4 linked regions of the Oryzias latipes genome follow. The main gene of each other region encodes a partner of the protein of the gene in region 3 in a complex. Links are inferred from orthologs where the notes say so. Each region holds a gene or a part of one and is shown on either strand. Other genes may lie near its edges.

Region 1 (5,797 bases), on a different chromosome or scaffold from region 3:
ACAGAATAACAATGTTATTAAAAAGAATCCACAGACTTATTCTACTTTAAAAATGTTGAAATTAAATCAAATGCACATATTCATTTGTATATTTAGTTTTAAACAAATTGTCGCGGACTGAGTTGGATGGCTGTTGGGCAGCGTTAAAAGTTCTGGAGTTCATTGAACGCGTCAAGCAGAGATCTGATTGGCTCTCAGTTCTGTCGCTCAGCCTGTTGTTAGGTAGTTTGGACCAATGGGGTTCAGCTATGGGCCGAATAAGGGAAATGGGAGGGGCTGCAGCGGGAGCAGGGGAATATAAAGTTGGGAGAAGCGTCTCGGCGGGAGAGATTCAGGAGTTGCTGAATTAATTGTACGGCGTTTGTTGCGGTCTGCAGTAATCGGAATAAAGAACTTTAAAAGAGGTTAAGTCTCCGTGCCTCAGTGTGGGAAAGGGACACTACATTATTGTATGGCTCTTTCGAAATTACATTTCAAAATATGTGGCATTTATGGCTCTCTTGGCCAAAAAGGTTCCCGACCCCTGCTCTAGAGGGATATTAGATAACTTTAACAATGTATTTTTGTTTATTTATTATTGCTTTGGTGTTACAAAGCAGTCTTATACATAAAGATTGTGCAAAAATAATAATAAAATAGGCCAACAAGACATCTAAAGAGGCCCTATGGGAAATTTACAGGCAATTTAAAGGTGCTTAGTGTTTGAGAAACAGGTGTAATCCAATGAAAAACTAACAAATATTTTTAAAAAATTCTGTAGGATGAACATAGCTCTGCTGGCTGTGCGTAATAACCCCACGTGATGTGGCCTACTCAAAGAGTATTGACGTGTAACAGTCGTCAGCTGTCAGCGTCACGATAGATGGACAGGTATTTGCCGACACACCTGGGGAAACCGAAACACGCTTCGGCTTGTCGTAAAGTTTGACCATCAGGTCGTAAAGAGACAAACTTAAAACAAAATCATCAAAAGACCCCTACACAGAGTCACTATTTTAATAAAGATCGTACAGTGACTGCATAAACTAAAGAAACTAAATGAACCTCCCCTGATTGTGTTCGTGCAGGGACAGCTGGAGCAGCGCGTGCGTTCACTTCACTTCACGACTTACCCGGCTGAACCAGATGCTGATCTGGGTTTCTGACACCAGGGCGAAGTAAAACCTCTGAGAGCTGGGCTGGATCTGGAAAGGCTCCTCTTCGCTCCTCAGCGGACAAAGCAACCTCCGGGGCCAACCGGTTAGAAAATACATGACGGCGCTCTTTAGTTCGAGCAGGCAGCGCAGCAATCCAGATCCTCGGTAGTTGCCTCTACGGGCGACTCATAGTGCTTTCGTCGAGACAAAAACACTACTAAAGAGCCCGGTGATGGCGCTGGGCAGGTTTAATCCACAGATTCCATACAGAAATACCAAAGCAGCCGACTGAGCTCCACGGCTAGCCCCGGGCTAGCATTGGATTTTCAAACTTAAAGCTAGCGAGCGGTGCGCGGTGTCCCCGAAAACAAAAGCGGCGAGGCCCGTCGCGACACCGTGCAACGCTAAATTGTGCCCGCTGTACCAGTATGCTGGCCAATCCGCTTTGCTCCCCGAGCTTTGTCAGTTGTTACGCTGTCTGGACCAGTGGTGTTCATTAAGAGATAAGCGTCCAGTTTTTACTCCACTGAGCCTCACTGTCGCCATCTTTACAAAGAGTCTATCCATCTTAACGCTGATTGGTCAGCCGCACGAAATTTGCTTAATGTTGACATCCAACGTCACCACTCTGTTATGTGACAATGGCTGCTGCGTGACACGAGGGTGACACCTAGTGGTCAAGTGAGAAGACATCCAGAAAGAATGTATTGTCATGGAGTTTCATTAATTTCTTTAATGAAAAAAAGAAAGAATAGAAATATGGAGTCCCATACTGTTCATAATTAAATAAATAAATATTTAATTAAATAAATAAATATGACCTCATGCAAATAGCAATGTGAGCAACATGATAAAGTTACAGTATACGAAAAAAGAAACAGAACTCAGCTGATTTCTTTTTATCGAAGACCAAATGTGACATTAATGGACAATAATTTGGTGCCAAACTGCATGAAAAAGAACGGAATTTTTTTCTAATTTGGAATAAAAAATAAATATTTGTGAGGATGGATATTATTTCAAGATGTGCTGCACAAGATACACTGTAGTAGTAACTCCATACCACAAGGAGGTGCTAATGTAGCTATAACACGCTTTTAAGACGCCAAAGAAGCAAGTGGAGGAAAGTTTTGTGTTAGCATAATATGCTGTTTGGTTGGCATTTATTACAAGTTTATAGGGTAATCATTTGTTAATTTAAAAACAAAAACAAAGATTCAATAACTACGTACACCATTTTTTTTTGCATTTTTAAACTTAAATCTGACTTAAACGAGTGTGAAAGAAGCCATAACCAGAAGAGTTGCGGTAACAGCATGGCTCTTGATATGAGATTACCGACTGTGAGGAAAACGGTGTCTCTGTCAGCTTCCGCTTTCGACCGAAAGGATCTCGTTGTTCCCGGAGACATCATCACTTCGGACACAGGTTTTATGAGGTAGGTTCTGCTTGCGTTTTGGAACACGTGTTTGATACCACGCTGATGTAGTACGGTAAGCTACATGCTAAAAAGAAACTCAGAACACACCAGAACTTATTTAGATGTGTCTTTGATCTGATGGAATACTGATGAAGGATAAGAAATTACATCTTTACATGATTTTAATAAACCATAACTACAATTTGTCGTTTTCTAGGGGGCATGGCACTTATGTTGATGAAGAAAAGCTGACAGCTTCAGTTGCTGGAGAGGTGCAGAGGGTGGACAAACTCATCTGTGTCAGACCACTGAAGACCAGGTGAGTGTGAAGGACAAAAATCTTCAATGTTTATGAACAATAGAATTGGTTGGTGGATTGACCCATTCAGATCGGACTAGCCCCACTTTTGCAAACATTCTTTAAGATCATTTGTGCGTCATTTTAGATTTAATGGCGAGGTTGGAGACGTTGTGGTCGGCAGAATTACAGAGGTGAGTTATTCCAACTGTTCTCTAAAAAGGCAAAACGAGATAACAATTTTTTTTGTTGTTGGATTCATTGTATCTGTTTTTGCTAATAATCTTTTCAATCTGTTTGATTTGATGGTTATATACAGGTGCAGCAGAAACGTTGGAAGGTGGAAACCAATTCCAGACTGGACTCTGTCCTCTTGCTGTCATCAGTAAACTTGCCTGGAGGAGAGCTGGTGAGACAGAACTGTGTTGTTTAACGAGAGAGAAGCGTTACAGGATGAGTTGAACTGCATGCTCTTTTTTGTTGTTGTTTTGTTATACAGAGGAGGAGATCAGCAGAAGATGAGCTGACCATGAGAGAATATCTTCAGGAGGGTGATCTCATAAGTGTACAGAGGATTTTCTAGTCTTTTTGCCAACATTTCCCCCTCATAGTTTTTGTCACTAAAGACTACTTTGCTGTATTTTCTCACTGTTTTTAGGCAGAAGTGCAGTCTGTTTTTTCAGATGGAGCCTTGTCATTACATACTCGCAGTTTAAAATATGGAAAAGTAAGTGCACAGTGTTACTATGTTGATATCTCCTTTTGGTAAATTTTACAGAGCTGTTTCCCTGTTGTTGTTATACATGTTGAATAAATTTGTGTTTCTGGCCATGTTCACACTGCAGGCTGAATCCAATTTTTCTGCCCCTATGCGACCTGTGTCTGATCTTTTTATGACAGTCTGAGCGACACAGATCAGATCTTTTCAAATGCGACCTCCGTCTGAATGGCCAAGCCACATGTATCCGACCCGTAAGTCATTATTCTGCGTTGAAGTAGGCGGGAACAAGAACATGAACATCAACCATGCCGGACGATGCTGGTGAGACCAGTCATTGGAAGGCAAGCAAGGTCACCGATTGGATTAAAATTTGGGGTGACAGCTCTATTCAGGCCAAACTCGAGGGCTCTTATCGCAACCGGGCGGTTTTTTGAAAAAAATTCCAGCGAAATGGCCGAGCGTGGGGTTGAACCTTCCTGGCAATTACTTTTTTTTCCCCTTTCTGACCGTGGTCAGAAGCGCGGGGGACCGAAGGCGGATCCTCCTTTGGGCGTTCATTTCCCCGTTCGGACCCTCAGATTCTCTAGAGCAGTTTAATAAAGAGTCAATAGCAGCCTTTTTTTATTATCGTTGTCCTTCCTCCGTAACACACAACATGAATGCGCACAGCGCAGTAGGGAATGCTGCGCTGCACGTGCTCTCTCCTCTCTCTTACACACACACACACGTGCTCGCGCGGCCCCAGCACATACACATCCCCATTCCACCACAGTGGGTACAGACGATCCTGGCTCCAATGCCTTCTTAAAATGAGAAGATTGTAATTGTGCTGGCTCCATCTTGAAAATAAATGTAAACTGCAAAAAGAGCTCCGCTGTTGACAACACTGTAGTTGACATCCATTGCTAACGTTAGCTACTTCCGCAAACAACGAGTGATGTCGTTCCCCGTTGAGTACTCTTCTGCGCATGCGGGTCACTTCTGGGTCATTTCACGGTCACACAGGAAATCACAAAAGTTCGCATTTAATTGGAAATGTGAACAGCCTTGCAAGAACATCGGATTTTTTCTAAAAAATCAGAATTGAGCATTAAGCCCTGCAGTGTGAACGTAGCCTATAGGTACCGGTATATCATTTTTTTTCTTTTCTGGGTCTCTGTATTCTTGTTAGCTGGGTCAGGGAGTGCTGGTGCAAATTTCACCTTCTCTGATCAAGAGGCAGAAAAGTCACTTCCATAATCTTCCATGCGGTGCATCTGTTATCCTTGGCAATAACGGCTTTGTGTGGTTGTATCCCACACTGGGACAACAAGAGGAGGAAGCTGGAGGTTTCTACACCAGTCTTGAGGTAACTTTGTAGGTTTATAAATATTTTATGTTTCAAAATGATCAAAAAGTGTCATCTAAAAAGTGTTAATTGTTTTAAAAATATTTTAACTGATTGAGGCTTAGCTTTGATTCCCATTCTCTGGCTTTTGCTGTGTCATCTGAAGAATCCTTATTGAATGTATCTTTTTCTTTGCACCATTGAATCATCCACCCCATCTAACCCCATCTCCCCTCACACCAATCACCCTCATGTCCTCCTTTATTACATCCATAAACCTCCTCTTTGGACTTCCTCTAGGTCTCTTTCCTGGTAGCTCCAATCTCAGAATCTTTTTACCAACATCATCATTGTCCCTCTTCTTAGTGTGTCCAAACCATCTCAATCTACTTCTCTGCATTTATCTCCAAAACATCGAATACAAGCTGTTCCCCTGATTTTTTTTTCCTTCCTAATCCTATCCATCCTCATAACTCCAAAAGAAAGCCTCGGCATCTTCATCTCTGCAATCTCTAGCTCTGCCTCCTGTGTTTTTCTCAGAGCCCTTGCCAAGACTGAGGCTGCTCTAACCAATCGTTTGCGCCTTTCTGTTCATTGTTGCTGAGGCTTTTAAAAAAAATGTAATATAGCTAATGTTGTGAATCTTTAAGCTTTAACTGATATTCACTCTACCTCAATCACAGTTCTTTGCTGATGTAAATCAACTCAAAACTAAGATCGTCTTTGAATGATAGTCATTTTGAAAATGATATGTTATTCTCCTGCTTCTGGTAGATTTCCCTAAACTAAACTTAAAAAAAAAATCAATTTGTGGTCTTTTTCTTTGCAGCCTGTTAGCCTGTCAGATCGAGAGGTGATTTCACGGCTGAGGAACTGCTTACTGGCCTTGGCTGCA
Region 2 (5,337 bases), on a different chromosome or scaffold from region 3:
CGGGGACAATCATGTATTATGATACGTTAACAAATAGCAAAAACTATTATTGCCATTTCACGGCAGCAGTTTTGTTTAAACATAAAATTATACTCCAAATGACCAGCTTCTACATGGGAGCCAGACAAAAAAAGGGCTCCATTCGATTGGTTGACGACATAAAGATCCATCTGATTGGTTAAATGCATGAAGGGCTCTGTTTGATTTGCTGAAAGCTTCAAGCTGCTATAAGATACTTTATAAACACTTAAAGACCCACTCACATTCGGTTTTTGATGTTTTTAAGATGTTCTTGTTGCATTTATCTCAGGATGGAGGACATTTAAAGAAAGTTAAGGTTAAAACTGCATTACAGGTTGTTGTTTTTTTTTTTAGAATCCTGACTAGGTTTGGGTGTCTGTCAAAAAGTCCTGACTAAATCACAATTAAATTAATAAATTCAAAATTCTTAAATTCAATCAAGTAAAAAAAGGTTTTCAGTTTTATTTATTTCCATTCAAAAATCTACTTTGTTCTTGTTTTACAAAACAAGCGATTTAAGTTAAACAAAATGTGGAACTTTTGTAATCAAAATGAAAAAACTATTTAATAAAAAAAAAAAAAAAACTGGAACTGCATTTTCTATTCCTTTAACCGCAGCGCCACAAAAACACCAACATGTGGAAATGGGCTGAAGAAGAGAATTCCCATCTGACAGCTCTGCTAAAAACAAACTCCTCAACAAAATAAACCTCCCATCGGCTTTACAGAACAAAGAAGATGGTAATCAAAACACGTAACCAGCAGCCAGAGCAAGTGGAAAAACTAGTACAATCATGGGATATTACCTTTAGTAAGGCGTGCGTAATAAACACAAACCAACATGATGAAACCACAAAATCATAAAAAAAAAAAAAAAAATATCAAGACTGATTCAGAAAAACCAAATGCAGATTTATTCTGCAATTGCAGCATTGATGGTCAGGTAACACTGATCTAAACACATGGAATAGCCAAAAAAAAAATGACAATAAAATATTAATTACGTCTGTTGTTATGTGCTCATGTAAATATTTTTTAAAAACATTTTACGGTTTCCAACTCTTCAGAGCCTTGAGGAAGCGTTAATGCTATTGCACTTGGTTTCTTTGTCAAACTGGCAACAGTTTCTGTGTCAGCAAATTGAAATGAAGCCTGAAGAAATCGTCTGTTTTCAAACCACAAACCGCCAACGACGCTGAAGTTAGCTTCCGATTCACAGCTTCCGATTCGCGAGGGCACAAAAGAAACATTCCGCTGCAGTTTTCGCACTAAGACCACCCTAAAACCGGGTCCTGTTCAAAAGCCGCTGGACCTGGACTGCTCAAACCTGGATTAAATTATACATTAGATACTAAAGAACACATTAAACACCGTTTCAGATTTGTGAAACCTTCCTCTGATTTGTGAAAATCTCAAATAGGTTGATTTTTATCGCATTTTACGCACTGAGTCCAGTGGACCTGGTCTAAGGTGGACTCAGTGCGTAAAATGGGATAAAAAATCAACCTATTTCACATTTTCACAAATCAGAGGAAGGTTTCACAAATCAGAAACTGGGTTTAACGTGTTCTTTACTATCTAAATTATTATTTAATCCAGGTTTGAGCAGTCCAGGTCCTGCGGTTTTTGAACAGGACCTGGTCTAAGGTGGACTCAGTGCGTAAAATGCGATAAACATCAATCTATTTCAGATTTTCACAAATCAAAGGAAGGTTTCACAAATCAGAAACTATATTTAATGTGTTCTTTAGTATCTAATGTATAATTTAATCCAGGTTTGAGCAGTCCAGGTCCAGCGGTTTTTGAACAGGACCCGGTTTTGGGTGATCTTAATGCGAAAAATGCAGCGGAATGTTTCTTTTGTGCCTTCGCGAATCGGAAGCTGTGAATCGGAAGCCAACTTCAGCGTCGTAAACCGCCATTATACTGACAGTCATCATTTCTTTCAAACTGGCCCTAAAACTATACTATATTTCGAAGCAAAGGTAAGTAAAACTATTTGGAAAACCTTTCATTCTAAATCTGACAAATCAAAATGCACTAACTGACCTGACGCTAGCAAACTGCTATGCTAGCCAGTCAAAAGCAACCGCTGAAATTTCCGTCCCTGCTAGTGAATTTGGAAGTCAACTATGAGGGGAAAACTAACCGGCGAATCAACACAGTGAGTGTCATTTACCCAAGCAAGTAGTTTGACTCACATAAGATGCTGTTATCACAAAACGAACCGGTCACAGCTCCCCAAAACACCGCTTCAGTCCACGCTGCTCGCTCAGAAGGGAAGTGCAGAGGCGATGGACACGCCCACGGACGCCACCTATTGGTTCAGATGTGCAGGAAGCCGGCGAACGCTCAATCCCATTGGTCGAGCCAAGCTGTCAGTTTTAGCCGAGCCCGCCACATTAGTGGTGCAAACTCCTCTGCTGTGGTTGATGCAATGAAAAAGACGCAGATGCCAACTAGCACGTACAATTTATTTTAGTTGTGCAACGAATAATTAATTTCTAACAAAAGTTATACACATTCGAAGCATTTCTAGCTAAAAGAAAAGGCGTAACGGAATTTTGCTTTGACTAAATTGCTAAGATTTAGCTATTGCGTGTATTTTATTTACTGTTACAAATAAAATATGTTGAAAATTAAATAATACCATCAGAATTAATTTATTTTTTATGAATAAATTCAAATTAATAAAGATGATGAAACATGACAACACTATCGGAACAAGCGGAACCGTGTTGCTGTGGGGACAGATTTATTGACGGACCGATCCCTGAACACCCGCTTCATTCGGTTCACGTGAGAAGAGATCGCCATGCCGACGGACACCAAACGTGTACGCGGGCCCGAGGTGTCTCAAAGCCCGTCTTTGTTTGACTGCAGACCCTCTGTGGTTCCCCCGTCGCATGGGGCCCGAGCGGACGGCCGCCAGCGGGACCAGGTGGACGTCCGGCCGGTGTTTGTGCGCTGCGGCCTGGTGAGTCAAGCTAAAGGTTCCGCGTACATAGAAGCTGGAGACACCAAGCTGCTGTGCAGCGTTTACGGCCCGAGAGAGACGGAGCGGAAAGATGAGACTGACATGAAATGTGGACGGTATGTAGTGGTCTTCATCCAGTTTTATAATGGAAGACTAATAGAAATATGTTTGCATTCAATGATATAACAAAGTAAAAAATAACTATGTGATAAGGCTGTAATTGGATTCTGCTAGAATTAGTAAAATAGAAAATCAGTTTAATTTTTTAAACAATACATTTAAAGTCAAAAGTTGATAAATCAACACATCTGCTTAACCAGACTGACCACAGACATGCGCTTCGCCCCGTTTTCCTGTCCGGAGAGGGGCTCCTGGATCCAGGGGAGCCAGGACAAGAACTTCTCCCTGATGCTGCAGGAGAGTCTGCAGCCGGCCTTGTGCCTTCACAAATACCCCCGCTCCCAGATTGAGGTCAACGTCATGGTCCTGGAGAACAGCGGTTCGGTTCAGGCCCACGCCATCACGTGCGCCTCCCTGGCACTGGCTGACGCGGGGATTGAAATGTACGACCTGGTGCTGGGCTGCTCCATCCGACAGGATGGCTCCTCCTACGTGGTCGACCCCACTTACTCAGAAGAGAGCAACTGGAGCAGCAGCGAACACCAAGGAGGGCTCACCGTGGCGTTTCTCCCCAGCCTGAACCAGGTTTCCGGCCTGCAGTCGGATGGAGAAATGGCTGAAGAGACTCTGACGGCAGGGATTCGGACCTGCATTGAGGGATGTTACAAACTGTACCCAGTAATCCAGCAGGCTTTGGTTAAGGCTGTGCGCAGAGCGCAACCCCCACCACCCGAAAGCTGAGAGGCAAAGTCAACACTATTTTTTGTCTGAGTCTTCAACAAGAACTTTAAAATTCAAAACAGTTTTTCACCTTGTTTCTTGATCTGAGGTGAAAGGATCCGCCAGCGTCCCCCTGATCTAAGAAACAGATTGATCCTATTTATTCATTTCTCCACCGTCTGCCTGCAGGACAAAACTTTGAGTCAGTTTGTTGATTTTTTTTTTTCCCCCCATGCCCCAAAAATCTAAATAAGGTAAACAAAGTTTTTCCTGCTCTTTATGCTATAGGGGAGAAAAAAGAAAACAAATTATGAAAAACTGAGAATGACTGGTTTAAAAAAAGAAAATGTTTTAATGCAAATGTCTGTTTTGTTATTTTAAAAATAAAAATACAGAATAAAAAATAAAAAATCCTAGTCTTTTTGTATTTTGGTTAGCATTTTATCACAGAAATGTATAATACAGAAGGTCAGATTGCATTTGTTTGCACATTTTCTTTAAAGAAAAAGTACCAAACTCCTATTTGTTCTCCAAAGTGAAACTCAGCTTGGATATTATATGGTAATGTGTCACCCGTGTTTTCATTCAGGATCTGATACTACGCTTTGAATTGCTCCAATTCAGGAAAAGTGACACAAGCTCCACTACCTCAGTATCATTTGCCCATCGCTAGTTTGTAATATTTATTCCATTTTTTCCTGTTTTACTAAATAGTTTTCTTCCTTCTAGTCTTTCCTAATAAATACACCGTAAAAAAATACATTTTTTTATACATTCTTGCTTCAAATAAATGTCACAGATCTCCCAGAACAACAGTGAATACTTTATTTTCTAAGACAGCAGCAAACAGTTGAACATTTCTCCAGAACAAACACATTTAGGGGGAAGAAAGAAAAACGTGTTTCCAAACCCTCCTGACTCTGAACTCCACCGACGCGACAGCGAGGCGCGCGTGGCGCTCCTCTGCTGCTCACAGCTGCGAGGTGAGAGTCATGACCGTCTAACGCAGCCTTCCTCGCTCCGCAGCTGTCAGTCACCGCTGCTTCAGCCTGCAGCCGCCGTGACTGGGTGGGGGTCAGGATGTCGTCGGGGGGGAGGCAGTGCGGGATTGGTGGCTCGATTAAACTGTGAGATGTGATCGAAGGAAGATTTGAGAGCCACACAACAAACAAATGAACAGATGTGGTTGAGTTGCAGGTCCAAACTGGTGTGTGTGTGTGTGAGGTCAGTGTTTGTGTGTCGGGGTCGCCCGCTCTGAACGCCTGTTGGTGTGTTTTTATCTGTAGGCCCTGCTGTGCCGCGGGTACGGCGACATGATTGCGTCCACGCTACCTTCGCTGTCCGAGCTGCTGTCCGAGTCGCTGCTGCCAGAGTACGCACAGAGTCCCGGTAAAACGCCGACACACATGGCGGCGGATGGCAGGTGCAGGGTGCCCTGACGGGATTTCACGGGAGTAGTGGCCGTGTTCATGGTGAGGGAGGCGGGTTGATCCTCAGAG
Region 3 (5,978 bases):
GAGGTTCTGTAGAGAGCAGTACCAACTGCTGACAGGGATCAGCTGGCTGCTGTAAACCAATCACAGAGCTCCATCTGAGCCCACAGTCTTACAAGGCCTCTTCCAGGTCTACAGCGCCCCCTGCTGGACCCTCCTGAACAGCTGCTGCCTCTGTTGCGTCGTCATGGTGTCACAGCTCTGCAGCAGGTTCGCCACTATCAGGGTCTGCTGGACGCTGGACGCCCTCACCCACACCCGGCCGTTCATGCCCACCACCAGCTCGCATGGAAAGAGCTGCTCCAGGTCCAAGCGGATGTCACTGTTGGGGGCGAGCAGCCTGAGGGAGGGGGTGCAAAAACCACGTTAGATAACATGGAACCCATTGTAGAGTCCCAGGTGCGGGGAGGGGGGGGGGAGTTACCTTCTGACCAGCCCCAGCGAGACTTTGATGAGCAGACCTCCTGCTCCAAACGCCCCCATCCCATTGGCTCGCCCCGACCCGTCGATGCACACCAGCTCAGGCTCCATGTCTTTGTTGGCGATGAGGAACTGAGCAAACACCAAGTCGCCCACCTGCACAGGTGAAAGAAAGGGGCGGAGCTTCAGGTAAGCCTGAAGGGATCTGACTGAAGAAATGCATCAAAGATAAAGATGAGCAAGAGGAGGGATTAACATCTTCATCCCTCTCCTCTAGATCAGTGGTCTTCAACCTTTTTAACGCCATGGACCCGTATGACGTCACACTAAGTTTTCGCAGATGTGACGGACGATTATTGCAGCAACACGATGAAGGAGGAACAGACACCTGACAAGACGAACCCTGAGGTTTTATTTTGGCACGCATGTCATTGTACATCACACAGGTGTCATCATCCTCTCCCCTTTCCACACTCATGGTGTGAAAAAGAAGTACTGTCTATTGAATGTAGCTTTTTTTTTGGAAGTAGAAGGCTCCTCTTCCGTCTCCTGGCTGGGCATTTTCACCTTGGTAAAGAAACTTTCCAAAGACGTTTGTTTTTTAGTCATTTTGCTAGTACCTGGTTTTATTTTAGTGGTAACCTATCATGTGACAGAAAAGAGAGCCTTGGCCTGCGCCAGGAGTGACATTGACGGATGGAACAGAGAATCTGGCAATTTTTCAAAATAAAACATCTGTCAGATTCCAAAATAAATAAAAAGGAAGCACTGTAAGTTATTTATTCTGTCTGTACGGCCTGGGGGTTGGAGACCGCTGCTCTAGATGGACTCAGATGGCAAATAAAACGGTCCTTGCAGTGCTGAGCTCCACAGGAGTGGCTCCTTGGAGTGACTGCACACAGCAGACTGCACACAGAGCCCCACCCACACTCACCTGGACGTTGGGTCGGTTTCGCTTGGTGGCTCCTTCAAACGCCAGGTAAGACAGAGACGCCAGCTCGCTGCCGCCAAAGTCCACCCTGAAGGTGTCTCCTGCTCGGGCCGTCACGATCCCGATCACGGTCTCCCCTTTAGTGGCGACATACTGAGGAGAACAAACCATTGACTATTCGAGAACTGGACTGAAGGACCCCTCCCTCCTCATGCTCCAAACAGGAAGAACCCGCTGGCTCCAAGAAGCCAAAATCCCATTGACATAACTTCTCACATTGAATGTGTGAAACATTTGACAGATTTTATGTAGCCTGCTTTCAAGTGATAGGGGTGTGACCTTCAAACAAGCTCACTCCTGATTGGCCACTATTTTTTATAAACCATTAGGTTTTCATCATCAGAACACAGTAGATTCATAAAGTCGTCATAAAATGTTCATATTTATTACCTTTCTATTTAGGGAAACGGGTGACGTCATATTGGCATCAGTGTTGGGAAAATGACTTCTAAAAAGTAACTGTTTACTTAGTGTTACAAAATTGTAATTAAATTACTTTACTCACCTATTTAGTACGGTAATTGCCTACCGGTTACTCCACTTTTTTTCCTCTCACATACAGATTCTCAAGGCAAAAAACAGTTTTCACAAACAAGATCCTCTTGTCATTCATATAACTTTATATTCAGAGAAATGACCTTGTGCAAATTTGAACCTGGCTCAAGACATAACCTGGTTTTATTAGAATTCAGACAACAATGTGAAAAAATACACAAAAAAGTTACAACACATGTGGTCTATAGGCCACTGCTCAAAGTGAGATGTGGAAACAAATCAGTTACGCCTATGATCACATCTGTCGAATCCACTCTTTTAAAAACACAAAGAATTATTTAATGCCTCCATGTTCATTTTCTCTGACTTAAGGTATTCCATGACAATGAGTTGTGCCTGTCTCTCTCTCTATACGTCTGGCGTTTGTGCAGTTCTGAGCAGCTGCAGGTCTACTGGACCAACACCACCCCAGCACCCACCTGCAGAGTGCATTGAGCGCCAACTCACGCTGACCAGAGACGCAGTCATGTGCAGCACAGAGAATAATTAAGTCAAAATGGGTGAAATAATATAGTAAACGCCAAGATCCGACTTTAGAGATGTTTCACTGCCAACCAACCCATCATCAGTACACGGGGCGGTTCTCTACTCTGCTGCTCACCTGCTGCTGCTCGGGGAGGACAAGCATCTCTGTTTGTTTCATCTTTGAGCCAGTAAGCCATTTGTATGGGTGACGTCACACTACGATTCTCCTAAGGCAGTGTTTTTCAACCAGTGTGCCGCGGCACACTAGTGTGCCGTGGGAGATGGTCAAGTGCGCCGTGGAGAAATTGCCCTCATTAACTGATCTAAAAACATTTTCCATCTCCAGGATTTCAGCTCTGTGTTCATCCAAACAGGCCCTGATAAAACACTGAGTAGTTAGGAATATAAAAGATCTTAAAATTACTTTTTCTTTGTGTTTATTTAATTCTATTAAAGAGATTTTGATAAAAATCACGGTACCGCGATTTAGCTGCAGCTCTAACTGTGTAAGGAAAAGTCCCGCCCCTTTAACTGTCTCCGCCAATCATTCTTGAAGGCTTAATCACATGTCATCAGTCTGACCAATCAGAAGTGCTTAAAGTCTTCACTTCCTTGTTCTTAATTCTGCTGATAAAGTCGCTCAGTTCTAACAAATATACCAGCTAAAGACGAGCTTTAGCTGGTGGTTCATCTCTTAGAAAAAAACAGCCGCAAATTCCTGCTTTTTCTGCCACAATTATCACAAAAATTCACGTGAGATTGCGGGGGGGGGGGGCGCTGTCGATCAATACAGACCATGAATTTCTGCTTTTTTTTTTTTTTTTGGATGATGGTGTGCCGCGGGATTTTTTTCAGGGTTAAAGTGTGCCGTGGCTCAAAAAAGGTTGAAAAACACTGTCCTAAGGATCAATGGAACGAACGCACGCGGACACATTTATTCACAACAAAGTACATTATTTAAGCAAACACAAGTTTGCAAAAATGAAACTTGTGTTTGCATAAATAATCTGGGTCTAAATTGAAAATACGCAGATCATGTGTGGATTTTTTTAAATTCTTGGTTAGTTGAGTGCATCGAATCAAAACCCATATCTCTGTATCAGTCCATATGTTTTAATTTGATAAATAATTAATTTAGTTTATTTTGATGTATTAGCTTGACGCGTATTTGGTTTTTATTTGATTATACTTTGTTATTTGTAACTGATATTTTTACTATTTGTTATATAAAGCACTTGAGGTGGATTTCATCAGGAAGTGCTATCAATAAAGTTGTGTTTGAATGCTGGTTGTGACCGGACCGCTTCACATTAATGCTCTAAACACGTCTCTGGACCGCTGAACGCAGTTTGTTGGGATCTCAGAACCTTTGGTTCGGACCGGTCCGCTCTTACCCGCTTCTGCTGGGAATCGATCCAGAAGGTGAGCGGCGGTTTGTGCCGCAGCACGCCGCTCTTCATCACCACCAGGCGGTCTCCGCTCCGCCGCAGCCCTGGTCCACACACCGCGCGCTCCGGCTTCGCGCTCTCCGACAGAGAGATCGTTTCCTCTGCACCAAAGCAGAACTCGTCCCCCGGAACCAGAACCTGTCCAACTTTCTCCTTCAGAACGGCGAACATGCCTCCTGTCGTGCTCATGGTCGTCTTCTTCTTTTTGTTGTTTATATCAGATCCTTACTTTGCGCCCCCTGGTGACCAGGAGGAACAATAGCGCTTTCTAAATTATAAGAATTTTCCTGTTTAAAGGACACACCTTTCAAAACGTTTTGGATAAATCCAGGTCTCACCAAATTTCCTCTAAAATAATCGTCTTTGAAAAAAGGTAAAATAATTTTCTACAGAAACAAAAAGTAGTATAAAAATGTCTCAATAGTGTAACACACAGACACACCCACACACACGTACACAACTCAAACGATTTAGGAGCACTAAAAAAGACATGCTATGCCTGAACAAATGAAATATTCTTTTGAAATGCTTCATTCTTTACATATTTGCATGTCCTGACAACACAATAAAATAAAAATAGTAATGGAAATTAAAACTATTCGGCTATGGATGTCTGGATGTGTGAACATTACATGCTGATCCAACTTCAATGTAATTTCTTTGAAACAAGTCAAAATGAGGCTCAGTAGTGGGCGTGGCCTCCACATGCCCATATGATTCCCCTGCAATGCCTGGGTACGCTTCTGATGAGGCAGCGGGTGGTCCTCCAAGGGATCTTCTCTGACGCCTGGACCAAAGCATCTGCTAACTCCTGGACAGTCTGGGGTGCAACCAGGAGTTAGTGGATGGACGAGACATGATGTCCCCGATGTGCTCAATTGCATTCAGGTCTGGAAAGTGTGCGGGCCAGTCCATGACATCATTAGCTTCGTCTGGCAGAAACTGCTGACACTCCAGCCACATGAGGCCTAGCACTGTCTTACTTTAGGAGGAACCCAGGGCCAATCGCACCAACATGCGGTCTCACAAGGGGTCAGAGAATCTCATCTCAGTACCTAATGACAGTCAGGCTACCTCTGGTGAGCACATGGAGGGCTGTGTGGCACTCCAAAGAAATGCCGCCCCAAACCATACCTGACCCATTGCCAAAGCGCTCATGTTGGACAATATTGCAGGCAGCAGAGCATTCTCCACCGCATCTCCAGACTGTGTCAACAGTGACTATGCCAAGCTTGGTGTTCTACAGCAAATGTCAAATGTCTCGCACGGTTTTGGGCTGTCAACACAACTCCCACCTGGCGACCTCATGGAGTCTGTTTCTACCATTCTGAGCAGACGTGCACATTTGTGGTCAACTGGAGGTTATTTTGCAGGCCTCTTCCCGTTTCTCCTTGCACAAAGGAGGAGGCAGTGGTCCTGATGCAGGGTTGGCCCCCCTTCTATGGCCTTCTCCACATCTCCTGATGTACTAGCCTGTCTCCTGATGGAACTTCTACACAGCAAACCTGGCTACAGCTTGCATTGATGTGCCATCCTGGATGAGTTGCACTTCCTGGGCCACTTCTGTGGGTTGTAGACACCGTAGAAACCGTCAACCAGAAAACATAAGGACAGAGAAGTTGTCTGTGGTCATCACTTGCAGAACTACTCCTTTATTGGCGGTGTCTTTCTGATCACCTACTATTTCCACCCATTGTCTATTACACTTGCAATAACTGGAGAAGGTGCAACCTCCTTTTTATAGTTTTAACATATCTTTCTTATATTGTCTTATGTCGCAGTTTAGTTTTTATTTTTTTATTCTTAATTTAACTTTTTATACCACCGGAAAAAATTGCACTGTAATTTCGTTGTACATGTACAATGACAATAAAGATATTTCTATTTCTATTTCTACACTTATAAAAGAGGGAGGAAATTGAGTGTAGTGTGGAGAGTTGGATTACACAGAAGTGTGATTGAGTTTGTATATATATTTATGTTGAGAAATGAGGAGGTTCTCAGCCCCCCCTCTGACCCCACCCGTCATCTCTGTTTGTCTGGCAGTTAACACTCCTTGTCTATTGGTTCTCAGTGTTCTATTTCTGAATAAAACCCTGTTTTCTCATCGTGGTTTATGGATC
Region 4 (6,053 bases), on a different chromosome or scaffold from region 3:
CAGGTACTTCTACATTGTCAGATATGTGCTCCATTACAAATAAGGGTACTGATGAAAAGGTATTCAAGTGAAAGATAAAAGTAATTCTAAACTATTACTGAAGGACCCACTCCAATAAAAATGGTGTTTCCAATATTTTCTTGTAGCATGTTTCTCATAATGGAAGTCATATGTAAAACAACTTAAGATTAAAACTTTGTTTCTGAGTATTTATTCAAAATGTGATGGATAAGGAGTAAAAAGCCATCATTTGAAAAGGCTCAGGTTTGTGACACAGTAACTGGCCAAGTCTCCCCTCTCTACTAAAATTCTCAAGCATCCACTTGCAGACAATAGATCCAGGTACGTTTTTGTTTTCCTCATCTGAGATGATATCTAGCTCCAAACAGTATGGCTAGAAAGCTCCATTATGGATTAAGGAAATGTATTGAAATTTAAAGAGCAGGGGAGTTTCTGACTGGACTGTTTAACAAGATCTTGGAGAGTGAAAAGATGTCTAAGAAATGGAGAAGAGTTCTATTTTTAAGAAGAATGCCGACGGCAGAGTAGTAGAAACTAAGGGGAATAAAGAGTCAGACAAGGAAGTTATGATAGTGGAAGCAAGACTGAGAGTAGAAGTGAGCATTTGTGAGAAATAGTATGGTTTCATGTACAGAAATAACCACAGATGTAATATTTATTTTGAGGATGCCTCTGTAGAAAGACAGAGAAGATCAGAAGGAGCTGCCTTGAGTCTTTACAGATCTAGAGAAAGACTATGACAGAATATAGGGAGAGGTTGTTGGTTCCACCTCCTGTGGTTTGGATGAGGAAGTCAGGAGTGGCGGAGAGAGAGTTGAAGTTCCTCAGGACTGTTTTACATTGAAGTGAATGGCTATGTGATTTCTTAAAAACAAGACATTTTCAGAACCATCCTAAATATGACAGTGGGTGGACATAAATCAAAAATCCATACAGAAGAAGTTTGTTCTGAATTTATTTAAAAGGATACTAAATTAGTTGAAACCGTTTCAAGAAGGTTTTTATCAAAATAATTGTGTGCTATTTTTTTTAGAAAAACTGGAGTAAAGATTGATTTTATTTCCCTCTTATTATTTTCACTCATCAGGTTTTTCCTTTGAGTAGGACTACACAAAAGAAGATCAAACACGATCCCAATGACGACATCTCGCTCCAGCCAAATGAAATATCATTTTTTCCCTAATATTTGGAGGACTACAGATTTCTTAGTCGCATTGGTACGTTTCTCACTACAGTATTAAAGTTTGCAGCACTTCTAAGGCATTTCTCAAAACAGATTTTTCAAACTGCAAAACTCGATGCACAACCTGCAAAAGCGAGTCACTCTTTCAGAATGGAAAGTCAAATTCTGGAAAGGAAGTCAGTAGTTAAAAAATGGGTAGTTCAAGCTGCAAAAGCAAATCCCTTAATCAAAGTGGATGAATTGATCTTCAAAGTCAAGTATTTATGTCAGTGAAAGTTTCAGTGTCATCAAAATAACAAGTTATGACTCCAGCATCTTTGAACAATCAAGTCAAAAGGTTTATACATGTTTTCATTGAGACAGATTACTCTAAAAGTGCTTCCCAATACCATGTGAGACAGCATTACATACCACGAATGGCGTTTAGAAAACTGGAGTTTAATAAAAAATGAAGACACTGTATATGCACTTCTGCTGTAGACTCACAAAGGTCTTTTTTTAAATCTCTTTCTGCATGGTTTTCCTGCAATCCAGGCCATAGTTCATATGTTTTAACAGAGGGGAGTGGGAAGGGTGGGTTGGGTTTTTACTGTAATATTGTGTGTTTTCTGTTTTTAATGCTAAAGCGCTTCGAGCTGCACAAACGCATGAGAAGCACTATTTTATAAATAAAGTTTGATTTAATTTGATATGACATGGTTTACCACATGATCTTCAAGTCTTGCCCCATACTGAATGTAGTGACTGACCAAAGCTGTTTGTCTGATGATCATTACACAAACTAAATGACCTCCCTCCCAAAGAAGAAAAAAAAAGAAAGAAAGCAAGAAAACAAAAAAAGGGGAACACCAGTACTTAGTTTGACAGATTATCTCTGCTCATTAAGTCACAAATTCTCTACTTTGAATGGACATTAAATTTGTTGTTCAGAGTTGTTGACATTTGCAATATTACCGTTTGTGCGCAGAACAAAGTCATTTTATTTGAGCAGAATTAACAACTTTGTCATTTATAGAAATAATTCTAAATTAAACTTGCCAACAAAACCCAAAAGACTAATTAGAAACGAGAAAAAAATCGTTTTTAAAAGCTCTTTTTTATGCAGCCCACTTCTAATAAAAAAGTTTTTGTTAAATTGTATAAAATATTAAATTACTTCCAAATAAAATTATATATATATATCGATACAAAATTAACCAAATTATTTGTTTACTGCTACACCGTCACGTTTCATGCCCATGCGCACCTCTTTCGGACACACCCTCCCACTCTGAATTAACCAATCAGAGTCGCCTCGCGCCCGTGAAAAGAGCCAATTGAGTGGTGCGCGTCTTCCGCAAACATGTCTCCCACGAGGCTGTGCGTTCCAGGTAAGTCTCCGTAAAAACCGCTTTTAGCGGTTTTCTATTGGTTTTGTGTGTTGTTTTTTTGTTAATCCCGTTTGTGAGTCTGTCACTGGGACGCCAGAAAATGGCGTAAAATTCTCCGTAGCGGTATAACGTGTAAATGTTGCTGCCATAGCTACGCGCGATTTAGCTCGTCTTTGCGCACTCATCGTTTAGGTAGTAGTAAATTCGTAGATTTGCGTTTGTGTGCATGCTTATATTTCCCTTTTCTTACTTAGTTTGGGCGCGTGCTCGCATTTTCTGAGCTCCGAGACACGTGAGGGGGCGGGGAAGGCTCGACACGTGAAGGACTGTGACTTTTCCCACCCCCGAAAACTATGCAGTCGATCCTTAGGATCACGTGGTTATAGCGGGGCCCCATGTGGTCCCCTTCAGAAGTTCGGACGGGTACAACATTTTAGAATATTGACTATTGAAAGCTGCGTCATGCATCAGCAGAAATGTGGTGTTCGTCTGAAACAGCTTCTAGTCAGTTAAGTCCTGCTGTCTTTGTACAACAGTTCATCATCATTCACTACTGTGTCAAACTTAAGGCCAGGGGGCCAAATGTGGCCCTCCGTGTTATTTTATGTGGCCCGCGGGAGCATGAAAGTTTTTAATTTCTTAAAATGAAATGTTTTTTTAGTTGATTACATATTATTTGTGTAGCTGCAGTTGTAATTATACAATGTTTGCCGGTCTTGTGTGTGTATGCAGACAAATTGTTGTCATCAAACCATCAGTTGGATGCAAGGCTGTGAGCAGCCTTTTATTGTAAAATGTTACACGTGTAATTAATCTTCTTTCTAGCTCAGTTTTAAGTTATTTTTCTTTTTTCACTTGGACAGTTTGAGCGTGGGTTTTAATAAGCAGACAAAATGTAGAAGGATTTATGCTAAATTAACAAGCAAACATGTTTTCTATGCAACTGTAATTGTCACTATAAAACGTTATATTTAATAAATGAGTTATTTAACATTAAGGAGTAGTTACGTCTATCTTTCATTACATTTGGTTACATGTATAAGTTATATCTGGCCCTTTGAGGGCAGCTGTTATGCTGATGTGGCCCTCAGTGAAAATGAGTTTGACACCCCTATACTAATCAGTATTTACCTGTTTAATCAATTTTGAAAAGACGTATTGAAACTGTAGTTGGAAATGTGTCTTTTTAATAGTGTAAATATTGAAACAACAAAGCATTTAATGTTAAACTAGGAAAAGGTGAACATCCTGAGGAACCTTTTCAATAATCGGATCCAATATACATCTTGAATGTTATATTTGTCATTTAAACTAATGGCAGAATAAACAAATGTATAATTGCAGATGTCATGCCCCTCCACACACATGGAATGGACTCATAAATGAACCTTTGAATCTGAGCTGTATTTTACATACTTAGAGCCTGAAGATTATTTCACTAAACATTCAGTTATATATATATACTCTAGCTCCCCTTCCAATATACTATTTATGAAATCTCTATAATATTTATTTCCTTGTTGGAATTCAAAAACAACAATGTAATAAATAATATTGTTTATTGTTTGCTGTTTTGCATATGCATATGTATAAAGGAGCTTTGTGCCTCTGCTGTGAGAAAAACGAAGCAACTATTGCAAAGTTTGCAATAATTTCAAATGGAAAATTATCAATATTGAAAGAAAAACAAGAGGGGGGGGGCAGACACATGACAGGCTCTGATTGATTGAACACACCTGATCAGATAATCTGCTCTAGAAAACAGGTAAATCCTGTGGTTTTACTGTGGTTTGGCAGGAAGCCCCACCTTCATTCTGACCATCTGTGTCTCAGGTGACAAACTGTGCAGCGTGGAGGACTGCATTCTGGGAACTGGAGTGTATCTGCGGCACGGCTACATCTACTCCTCTCTTGCAGGCTACGTGCTGAAGAAGAATGAGGGGGAGCAGGTGAGGAGGGGTGGATCTAGCAGAGTTGACTTGTTGACACATCTTCCAAGTCTGTAGTTAAGGGGATTTTCCTTTAAAGAGAGAGAGTATTTTGTTTTAATTTTTTTCAAATTTGGGGACAAACTGTAGTTCATTTATCGTCCAGCCTTACCATTAGCCTGACTCCACCCACCCTCTAATCCAGAGGGATCAAAGTTTGGGATGGAACGGGGTGATGACGAGTCTGGTCCGCACTGGTTCTCGTGCACGTTTGTGGTGTTTTACAGTTACCTGTGATCTCTGTGGTCAGAGAAACAGAAGTCCAGCTGTTGCCAGATGTGGGCGCCATCGTCACCTGTAAGGTAGGAGGGGGGGCTGACACAGGTGGGACCTACACTTTTAGCCTCATTAGGAGATTTTTCCAGGACTTTGTCACATTCATGGTGCTTGTTTGGTAGCGGAATTGTTTGCAGATTAGAAATATAGATTATCATAGATAATTAATTAAATTTATTTTTTTAAACAGAAGAAAGTGCGATGATGACAAAATACATGTGGTAAATGGATTCAGTATTCCTGCCTTTGTCTTTGCTGTTTTCCTGCATGTTTTTAAAATCATAAATAAATAAAAACATCATAACTAAACTCACAGCTGTAGACTCCCTTCTAGTCTAAAGCAGCTCCACATTTGAAACTGGGTTGCATTTAGCATCACAGTTTGACATCTTTTCTGTCTGTTGCTGAACCACAGGGAGACTTTCAAAATCAAAGACGTGTTTGTTTTCAATACCTAGAACAGAGAGGAGGACTGGTGTTATTACGCCATTTGGAAGCGGTTTCACACTCACATGTGTGAACAAATATTAGCTCCTATTTAGACTGATTCTACAAGAGAAAAGCTTTTACAGCACTTATGTAATCAAAGGTTTTTCCAAAGCTTTAGCTGACACCAAATTGCAGATAAGATGATGTTTTCCACATAGTTGGTTAGGTTTTGTGGGACAGATGCTGGACTTCTCCCTGCCAGAGAAAGTTGTTTGAATCCCAGAAGCTTCTAGTCTGAATATGTGAGTACATCAAGCACACATTTTAATTGTCAGATCCTTCATGTTACAGGTGACGAGCATCAATTCCAGGTTCGCCAAAGTGCACATCCTGTATGTGGGCTCCACGCCGCTCAAGGACCTGTTCAGAGGAACCATCAGGTGAGGCAGAGTGGACGCAGCAGATGTGGCTGTTTTAGTGCTGTCTGACGCTCTTCTGTGTGTTCAGGAAAGAAGACGTTCGCGCCACAGAGAAAGATAAGGTGAGCGAGATCCGTTTGGCCCGGCGCCGTCCGTCCTTGCTGGTCTGACGTTGAGCTTTGTTTAGGTGGAGATGCACAGAAGCTTTAGACCTGGGGACATTGTTCTGGCCAAAGTGGTATCCTTCATATTTCTTGATGCTCCGCGCACAAAGCTCAGAAGCTGGCATGGCAGACCTTAACCTGACGCTAGATTTCTCTGGGAGACGTTCAGTCCAACTACCTGCTGACCACTGCAGAGAACGAGC

The links. Proteins that work in one complex are often made in the same cells at the same time.
Region 1: exosc3 (region 3) and exosc2 share a complex: the UniProt entries of both Homo sapiens proteins name them as parts of the RNA exosome core complex. The link is inferred for Oryzias latipes from reciprocal best matches to the Homo sapiens genes EXOSC3 and EXOSC2.
Region 2: exosc3 (region 3) and exosc6 share a complex: the UniProt entries of both Homo sapiens proteins name them as parts of the RNA exosome core complex. The link is inferred for Oryzias latipes from reciprocal best matches to the Homo sapiens genes EXOSC3 and EXOSC6.
Region 4: exosc3 (region 3) and exosc1 share a complex: the UniProt entries of both Homo sapiens proteins name them as parts of the RNA exosome core complex. The link is inferred for Oryzias latipes from reciprocal best matches to the Homo sapiens genes EXOSC3 and EXOSC1.

The regions. Positions count from the first base shown.
Region 1 is NC_019870.2:12,829,272-12,835,068, reverse strand, and holds the start of exosc2 (exosome complex component RRP4), read left to right. Parts: upstream 1-2,213; 5' UTR 2,214-2,452; coding exon 2,453-2,574; intron 2,575-2,773; coding exon 2,774-2,875; intron 2,876-3,002; coding exon 3,003-3,048; intron 3,049-3,173; coding exon 3,174-3,263; intron 3,264-3,353; coding exon 3,354-3,419; intron 3,420-3,512; coding exon 3,513-3,581; intron 3,582-4,746; coding exon 4,747-4,923; intron 4,924-5,731; coding exon 5,732-5,797. Other genes in the region: ric1 (RAB6A-GEF complex partner protein 1), read right to left, coding at 1,113-1,253. UniProt on the Homo sapiens protein: Non-catalytic component of the RNA exosome complex which has 3'->5' exoribonuclease activity and participates in a multitude of cellular RNA processing and degradation events.
Region 2 is NC_019864.2:25,017,614-25,022,950, reverse strand, and holds exosc6 (exosome complex component MTR3), read left to right. Parts: upstream 1-2,457; 5' UTR 2,458-2,836; coding exon 2,837-3,114; intron 3,115-3,318; coding exon 3,319-3,859; 3' UTR 3,860-4,053; downstream 4,054-5,337. Other genes in the region: protein FAM192A, read right to left, coding at 5,115-5,337. UniProt on the Homo sapiens protein: Non-catalytic component of the RNA exosome complex which has 3'->5' exoribonuclease activity and participates in a multitude of cellular RNA processing and degradation events.
Region 3 is NC_019868.2:3,162,977-3,168,954, reverse strand, and holds the start of exosc3 (exosome complex component RRP40), read right to left. Parts: upstream 4,077-5,978; 5' UTR 4,045-4,076; coding exon 3,802-4,044; intron 1,481-3,801; coding exon 1,331-1,480; intron 553-1,330; coding exon 401-552; intron 317-400; coding exon 109-316; 3' UTR 1-108. UniProt on the Homo sapiens protein: Non-catalytic component of the RNA exosome complex which has 3'->5' exoribonuclease activity and participates in a multitude of cellular RNA processing and degradation events.
Region 4 is NC_019859.2:28,377,056-28,383,108, forward strand, and holds the start of exosc1 (exosome complex component CSL4), read left to right. Parts: upstream 1-2,469; 5' UTR 2,470-2,546; coding exon 2,547-2,574; intron 2,575-4,407; coding exon 4,408-4,523; intron 4,524-4,789; coding exon 4,790-4,864; intron 4,865-5,618; coding exon 5,619-5,707; intron 5,708-5,774; coding exon 5,775-5,808; intron 5,809-5,873; coding exon 5,874-5,924; intron 5,925-5,998; coding exon 5,999-6,053. UniProt on the Homo sapiens protein: Non-catalytic component of the RNA exosome complex which has 3'->5' exoribonuclease activity and participates in a multitude of cellular RNA processing and degradation events.